Regions from separate parts of the Mus musculus genome. Here region 1 is reported to be linked to region 2. Evidence: microRNA targets listed by miRTarBase, many of them from high-throughput screens and not tested one by one. Region 2 holds a microRNA gene; the other region holds the end of a gene's coding sequence.

Region 1 (4,253 bases), not on the chromosome of region 2:
TCCACAATGTGAAAAACTACAACTCTTTTCTTTTCTTATTTATTTATTTATTTATTGGGGCGGGGCTGAGCAATTTAAAACATCAAAGACACAGAGGACCCACAGAGAAATAACTAGCTTAGTCCTTTTTGAGTGACTTCAACGCTTGTGACCGAGAGTGTCCCAAGTTCAGGTTGATCACATCTGGTTTCATTTTTCTGGATTCTGGGAATTGGGAAGCATCCATCCATTTCCCAGACAATCACATCAACTTTGAAACAAATGACAGTTACCCTGAGAATGCCGACATTTAAAGAGTATTTCAACAGACAATCAAACGACGCTTGACCGTGCCCTGTTCACTCCCTCAAGGCAGCCAGCAAACTAATCACCAAACACCCCATAAAAAACTGTAACAATGGCGAGAATTTGAGTCAAGTCAAGAAAAGATGTGTGTTAACGACAGAAAAAGAGAGAAAAGCACTTCAAAGTCTTAAGTAAGAATCACCTCGATAGTTAAAGTTAAAACGTTTTCCAGTCACATGCGAAAGAAGGAAACTCCAGGTAAAGCAGAAACAAGCAACCTCTCCTTAAGGAGAAGATATTCTAATTGTGCACATAATTTACATTGGTCAGACTTTGTTTGATATTGGTACAAATTCAACTTTATACTGGTCACAAAATTTACTTGTTGGAGATCATCCAACACCTGTCAGTTGATCTTCCGAGGGTGAGAGGACACCTTTTGTACTTTAATGCACTTTTCTCCTCTTCATTCTCCAGAAGAAAGCAGAATGGCTAGAGATGGTAACAGCCAAAGGACTGTAACCAACTTCCAAACTAGAACTGCCGTCTGGCCTGATTTCTAAGAGGGAAATATATGACTTGGGGAAAAATCTTCAATAGTAAGGTAGGCATTTTTCTAAGAAGAAACAACTTTAAATTCAGCAGTGTTCTAGATTGGTAAGGAAAGATGGCCAATGCACTCTGGACTATACGGATTCTTATAGGCCCATTGGTACAAAGAGAATGTTCAGAAAGTGGTGAAGTAAAGAAAGCGGCTTTCTAGGCTAAGACTTGATCCTGAGTTGACCTTACTAAGTGTTGACCTTGAATGTCAGCTTGATTAGTTTTACTCTGCATTCGTGGCAATTGAGTAACATAAAGTAACTGGTTGGCTTATTACAAACACCAAATGCTGCAAGTTCTAAAACTACCTGAGGTGTATTCTAGCGGATGGACATTACACTGCAGTGAACCATCCGTGTTAGCAGTTAGGGGCAGTCACACCTCTACGGGGAAAGCCTTTTAGTGAGTATTGTGGCTCAGCACTGGGCTTCTCAATGCGGATACTAGAAACACCTAGTCCAACTTGCCCTATAGGGAGGACAATTTAAAGCTGGGAACAGTTTAACTTATGCAAAAAAACTTTAAAAGATGTTAGAGTTTTTTTTAAAAAAAGTCAAAACCACGGCAGGAAACGACTGCTCTTCCTAATACAGATATTTTAAAAAGAGAAATCTGATGAGGAAGTTCTTAAATGTCATTTCCTTTTTCAAAAAACGGAGAGGGGGTTGGGGAGTTCATATTTTTGTGGTGACATATAACATAAAAAAATTAAGAAAGGCATATAGAAAATAAGTCTTCAAATAGTTGAGTAATCTTCTTCAGGCAATTTCTAAATAAATATAGACACAGCTACTGCTTGCTTTAAAGAAACAACAAACAAGCCCACATTTATTACTCCACTGGGAAACAACTACAGTATAAGACCATGCAGTGCTCCTTAGGCAGAAGTTGCTACAAGCAGCTCAGGGCTGCTGGAGGCACAGCTAAGGGACACACATTTCCTGGATCCAACAGAAGAGACCTGTGATGAGCTTGTGATAATGGTAGGGGACAAGGTCTTCCCCTCACCTTTATAGGGGAAGGATGGAAGCAGGGGAAAATGAAGAGGTCAAAGTGGCCCTGGCTGGCTACAGCTGAGAAACAGACTCCTTGGTGGAGGCTCTGAGCGTTCTCTGGGAACAGGGCAGGTCAGAGCACTGCTCGGGTCTCTGATTCAGCTGAAGGCACGGATGCCTTTCTTACCACCAGAACACATAGCTGATCTTGTGTAAACAGCAGGAGAGGATCCCCTCTGCTTCCTTACAAAGGCTCTAACTAGTCGTAGGGCTCCCTGAGAACTAGACTCCAAAGTACTGTATATGTACAGGACATTAACAAATACACAGCAGCACGACAGTCACCTCTCCACATTAGGGTCACAGATCAGAACCTCTACTGAGCTGGACAAAGCCACCACTCAAGCTGAGTGTCCACACAACCGTGATAGCCAACCTTGGTTTAGGCATCTCTCAGGTACCTACAATTTCCCAAGTTCCAATAAATTCTGTTTTGAGGAAATCAATTTATTTATTTATTTGTTTGTTTAATTTTATGTGCACTGGTGTTTTGCCTGCATGAGTGTCTGTATGAGGGTGTCAGATGCCCTGGAACTGGAGTTACAGACTGGGGATCCTCTGGAAGAGCAGCCAAGGCTCTTAACCACTGAGCCAATTCTCCAACCCCTTGAGAAAAATCAATTTTATTTCAATTAACCTTATAAGCTAAATCAAAAGCTAGTTAAGAGGGGCTGAAGTTTCCTGGCTGTAAGAGTTGCTGTCATCATCCACGAGATGCCATTTAATGGCTAGTGAGCTAAATCACTCGTTTGGGCTGGTGATTTTGTGTTTGCAAGCAACAGAAGATATGCAACCGGCTGTGGAAACCAAGCTGCACGGGACAGACAAGAAAGGTTCCATGGCAGTAACACTCAGCAGTTGGCAAGCACATGACCGCGGTCTTACAGACTGGGAAGAGGCCGCCTGGAGCATATTTCAAAACAGGAAAGTAGTGGGGGATGCTTGGTGTTCAGTGGACAATACATTCACACTAAGTAAGGGTTAAACCAGTCCCTGGATCCTTAGTGAACTATAGAGGAGGGAGTACTTGAGAACTTAAGCCTTCCAGGGATCATGGTTCAAAGCCTCTGAAATTCACAGGAGTCAACTAAATGAGAACTCAACACCAGAGCGGTAACTTCTCTACTGGCACCAGCACAGGCAGTGGTGATTTTCATGTTTAATATAGTAATCAGTGTCCTAAAAACCCCTCAAGTTTTTAAGGCACCGGTCTTATTAAACGATTGAGCTGCAGCACGCTAAGTCTGGCCTTTTTTACAGTAAAGTACACGGACAAAATAGCCCATGGAAGCACAGTGAAGGGGTACCCTGACAGACAGATGAGCCACAGGCCCTTCAAATGTTGACGTTTTGAAGATACAGGGGACATGTAGGTTCCCATGGGAACTGCCTCAGGTATTTGTTAACAGTAAGAAGTGGCTCGTGACCTCACTGATGACATCTGCTGCTAGGCCTTACACCTCTCCCACTGCTTGTTTGAACATTGTTTACTGGGGCCAGGCATGGAAGGCACGGTTTTCCCATATGGTTCCTAGTTTTTGAACACAAGTACATGGACGCTACACCCCCGCATCAGTACTTCGTGGCTGGAAACCCTCCTTCCGAAGGCCACCCATGTCAAAGCGGGTAGAGACTTCACAGCGCACTAGTAATGTATCATCCTTAATGAAGGTTCCCTGTCTTAAGGCTTCCAGGTGCATAAATGTTACATAGCCAAAACCTTTGGGGTTCCGTGGGATTGTGGGTCGCTGAAAGGCAAGCAGTTCTGGTTTGGCGTCCATGACCTCTTCGTGGTTTTGCCTTATAAGTGCTTCAGACTGGTCGAGAATTGTAAGGCGTATTGTACCCTGGAAGGGCCAGGGGAGGTGGCTGTCATATTCTCCTTGCATTGTGTGGACAAAAAGGGATATATAGTTTGCACAGCGCTGAGCTGTCGGTAACTGAAGATGCAGGCGCATGCACAGCTTGTACCCAGGTCTGCCTGTGTAGAATCCAGGGCTATGGATGACAACAGGTCTTTCCTCTTCTTGGGATTTCAAGTGCATCCCAAAGTTGCCAATCTTCCAAATGTAGATCCCGTTACACTGCTGTGCTTCCATTTCGGCAACCTTGTCCTCCAGGGTCCGAATGGTCCGTTTGAGCTCGCCCACGTACATACTCTGAGTTTCCATTTTGGCAGTCAGCTCCCGGATCTGATGGTCCTGTCTTACTAGGCGACTCTCCAACTGTTTGATAGTTTCCTCATAATTTGGGTCCTCTGGACGACATCCCCGGGATGGAGAGGCGGCATCGCACGGACGCAAAGCAAGG
Region 2 (4,582 bases):
TCTGTCTCCTTTCTTGAAAAAAAATTTCTGGACTGTGTCTATGATCCAAGTGTGTTCTAGAAGCTGGAAATAATATTATGGAACCAACACCTACTCCCTACTCCGACATGAAAAAAGTTAAAAGTGAGCTTATAGGGTCAGAACCCCCCCTGGAAATATGAATCATATGATATATCTAGAATATAATTCTTATAATTTAATGATAAAAAGACAAACAGCCCAGTTTAGAAGTTGCAAAATATGTGAATTTTTTTTTTTTGTCTGAACAAAGTAGCTGTGCAAATGCAGTAAATAGATGAAAAGGTGCGCAACCTCATTAGCCACCAGGGAGAGGCAAATCAAAACCACAGTGAGGCACCGCTTTGTACCTGCTGGGAGAACTACAATCAAAAAGTCAGGCCATATAGCAAGGCTGTGGAGAAAGGAACCCCCAGACCCTGGCGGAGGAAATGTCAAATGGTGGAGCAGCTTTAGTGGAGAGTGTGAGAGTTCTCTAAAGAGACATGGATGTAATGGAACCCCACCATCTACTCTGAGTTACAGAGTCAAGAGAAATGACAGCATCTATCAGCACAGAGCTGGGAATGGCCCTAGAAGCATTTGTAGTTGAGATAGAGCAGAGGTGGGCTGGAGAGGGGGCTGTGTTTAAAAGCACAGACTGTTCTTGCAGAGGTGCCAAGTTTGCTCCCCAGAACCCATGTTGGTGGCTCACAACAACTTGTAAATCTAGCTCTAGGGGGACTCTGTAGCCTCCTTTGCCACCTGCATTCATGTACACACACACACACACACACACACACACACACACACACTTACACATACTTAAAATAAACAATAAAAAATAAATATTTAGGAAAAGTGGAAATAATATGTATTTACATGGCCTAGAGGTCGGGTATAGAAGTCAGGAGTAAATGTGATTAGCATGTAGTTTAGGGATGATTAAAACATTCTTAGATTAACTATGGTGGCTATCAAACAACTTCATGGTAATATTGAAAGCCATTGAGTTTTATCCTTTATGAGTAGGTAAATTGTATAGTCGTGAGTTCTATTTCAAAGAAACAGTTACAATTATTTAAAAAAAATTACTTGTTGTTGTAGGGGGGTCTTTTGTTCAGAGACTTACTCTATAATGCTAGTTGGTCTGGAACCCATAATGCTACCCAGGATGACCTTGAACTCACAGAAATCCTCCTGCCTTAACCTCAAGAGTGCTAGGGTTACAGGAATGCTCCATTTTGCCGAGCTGTTGTTTATATACTTTCAAAAAAAAGCACTAGCATGGGCTCTGCCCCTGTGAAAATATAGTCTTGTTTGGGAGATAGTATTTATCAACAATGACATCAAAGGCTCTATCAATTAGTTTATAACTATGAAGGGAAGGATTGAACATGACACAGGAGAATGGCAGGTATCACTGGGGAACGGAGACGAGGTATTAGTGAGGCTATTACACTCAATGATTCTAACAGATGCCTAAATAGCAGTGGCTTGAAAAGGGGAAGGTCCTGCTCTTGCTGACGTGAAGAAATACAGTTTCAAAGATCATCTAGTGCCATGCCCTGCCCTATCATGGGTGGTGCATGGCCCACATTGCATGGTGTGGGTGCAGCTGTACTGTGCGCTCTGTCTCCATGTAGAACTGGGTCACTCTAGGAAATGGGGCCTTTGTGCCAGGAGTGTGTGTACACGGTGTGTGGGGGGGAGGGGTGGTGGGTTCGGTGAACACAGAAGAGACACAGGGTGACAATCCAGTCATCTCTGCTATTGATGGTCTTGCTGAGGAGGTGATTCAGTAGGTGAGAGCCTCAGGAGGAATAGGCGTTGAGGGCAGTTTTCCAGGCCAGGGGCACATGTATGAGGGCACAGTGGGGACGGAAAGACCATCTGTCATGTTCCTGATTGCTTTTGAGAAAATCTTGCTACGTACTTCAGGCTGCCCTTGGACCAGCAGTCCTCTTGATGCACCTTCTTCTTCGCTGGGATTATGGGGTGGCCTCAAACTGACATTTCTCCTGCTGCAGGCTCATGAATGTTGAGATTACAGGCTTGCACCACATGCCCAGCATGTTTAATGATTGCTTATGAACTTGCCTATCTTGTGTCCCAGATCCTTATGCATCAAGAGTGTCCAGTCTGCAGAGGCCGTGCTTTTGGATTTATCAGAGATTTCTCTTGTGTTTTTACAGGGCTGGCAGGATCTGGCCTGGGAGGAAGGCCTCATCTGGAGAGTCTGTGTGTATCCCCAGCTCTGAGAACTGAATTCCATGGGTTATATCAATGTCAGACCTGTGAAATTCAGTTCTTCAGCTGGGATAGCTCTGTCATCACGGACCTGAAGAACACTGGTTGGAACAAACTCTGAAGGCCTTCATAGTCTGCCAAGGAACTTGAAGAGTGGAGAGAGTGGGGTGAAGCGTGGAACTGCTGGCACCGGAGGGAGTCATGTTGGATTGATGTGTGTTCTAATTTCATTTCTGTTGCTCTGATAAAATATCTTGACAAAAACAATTTAGGGGAGAAAGGGTTTATTAGATTATAATTCCAGGTCACAGCTGATCATTATAGGGAAGACAAAGTAGGAACTTGAAGCAGCTCGTCTCATACATCGTCAAGAAGAAAAAGAGAGCCAAACATTGTGGCACATACCTTCACTCCAAGAAATTTGGAAGCAGAGGCAGGTGGCTCTCTGGTAGGCCAGCCTGATGTACAGAGCAAGTTCCAGGCTAGCCAGAGCTATATAGTGAGATTGTGTCTCAACAAAGAGGAAAAAAATAGAGAAAAAATATATATGCTTACTTGTACTTGACCCCCTCTCTACACTTAAAGAGTCTAGGATCACCTGCCTAGGGAATGATGCTGCCTACAGTGGGCTTGGATCTTCCTATGCCAATTAATATAATCAATATATCCATCCACAGATATACATAGGTCAACCTGATCGAGATGATCCCTCACTAACACTCTTTCTAAATGATCCAAGATTGTGTCAGGTTGACAGTGCTAAGCAATATAGTATGGCAATTCCTCCTCCGGTTGGGAAAAGCGAAGCATCCTATAAATAGCCTCACTGAGTGGTTCTTGCTGCTGTGACTCTTGTTTACATTTCCATGATTTAGGATGAGTCAGGTATGAAGGGGACTAAGTGCTATGCATGCTGTTATAGGAGACTCATGGGAAACACCACTTTAATGAAGCTTGAGAGACACAGGATTGCCAAGCAGTGATTTCCCAGTCTCTTTATGGGACCAGATGGAATTAATTGTATGTGGCAATTATCCTTTAGCATGGTCTGCTGAGGTGTTTGGCTGCTTTTTCAGATATGTAGCAAAAAAGGATAAAGAACACATCCTTCTTATAGCCCCTCATCCCTTTTATTTGAACCTGTGCTTTCTTGCCTACTTTAAGCAAACAAGGGGTAGAGTGTTCTTTTGTACCTCCAAACAAGACAAAAGAAGTTGTAATTACACTCCACTGTAACTGACAGTTTCTTCCAGGGATGAGGATTAAGAAGCCTTAGAAAGTCTATTTGGACATATAGTCTATTAAATGATGGGGCTCAGGTCCTTGTAGAGAGGCAATAAAGACCTCTGTCACCAAGCATGTTGGGTCTCTTCTGAGAGTTGGGCTTGATTTGCTGCTGCTGATTATCTGGACTTTATTAAGCTTTTGAATTAGTGGGGAATTAGGAATGTGCCCTGTGCTTTGGGAACTCCTCTTTGACTCATCACTACGTCTTGGTGTCCTGGGATTTCCTTCTTACTCTTGTCTCTGAATGAAAAGAGAGGGAGGTAGCATGAGATGGGGGACTGTACAGCACCCACATGCTCAGTCTTTCAACTGAGGAACGTAGGTGTTTACTGTGCATCGACTCCTAAATCCAGGGCTTTGCCTATACGATCTCAGTGAATCTTACCAAGCCTCATCTCCATAATATAGACACATCAACAAAAGGATTTTTTCCCCTGTTATTATGATAAAATGGCCTGGCAAAAATAATGGTTGATTTTGGCTCACAGTTCAAGGGTATTGTTCATCATGGAGGAAGTCATAGCATGAGAAGCTTGAGAGCTGCTGGCCACATGACCTCGGCAGACAAGCCGTGGAGAGCAGCAGATGCGCACAGCTCACTTTCTCCTTTGCATGAAGTCCAGGACACTACCCAGGGAAGGGTGCCACCCTACTTTATGGTGGCTCTTCTTACATCAATTAACTTAATCACCTCACAGGCATCCTCCAGGGGTAACTCGATCTAAATAACCCCTCCTAGGGATAATTGGAGCTATGTCTTCTAGATAATTTCAGATCTTGTCAAGTTGATACCAAAGAGCTATGGTTGTCAAATTAAAAAATCCGAACCAGACTCAATGGGAAATCTTCAGCCATAGTAGCCAGAGAAGCAAATCTATGCCTTGCTCAGTCATTATCAGAGAAGCTTCCTGTTCCAGAAGATGGAAACAAGTAGAGATCCAGAGCCAGAGTATATGCAGAGAATGAGAGACCGCAGAACACTCAACCTTAAGAGGGACGTCTCCATAAAAATCCCTCCTCTCTGGCTCAGGGAACTTTGCAGAAGAGG

Evidence for each region. The annotated mature microRNA mmu-miR-146a-5p reads UGAGAACUGAAUUCCAUGGGUU and lies in region 2 at 2,256-2,277, shown strand. An mRNA with a match to its seed (bases 2 to 7 or 8) in the 3' UTR can be bound and repressed. Matches are read on the target gene's strand: a 7mer-m8 pairs with bases 2 to 8, a 7mer-A1 pairs with bases 2 to 7 and ends in A, and an 8mer does both.
Region 1: miRTarBase lists Traf6 as a target of mmu-miR-146a-5p. Seed matches in the 3' UTR shown: 8mer at 3,036-3,043, 8mer at 2,972-2,979 and 8mer at 2,160-2,167.

What each region holds. Positions count from the first base shown.
Region 1 is chr2:101,696,749-101,701,001 of GRCm38, reverse strand. It overlaps Traf6 (TNF receptor-associated factor 6), which reads right to left. Exons shown (of 7, transcript NM_001303273.1): 7 at 1-4,253. The coding sequence ends at 3,503. Among named protein-coding and RNA genes, the nearest start is that of Traf6, 20 kb to the right of the region's middle.
Region 2 is chr11:43,372,130-43,376,711 of GRCm38, reverse strand. It overlaps Mir146 (microRNA 146), which reads left to right and starts at 2,251; the gene lies at 2,251-2,315.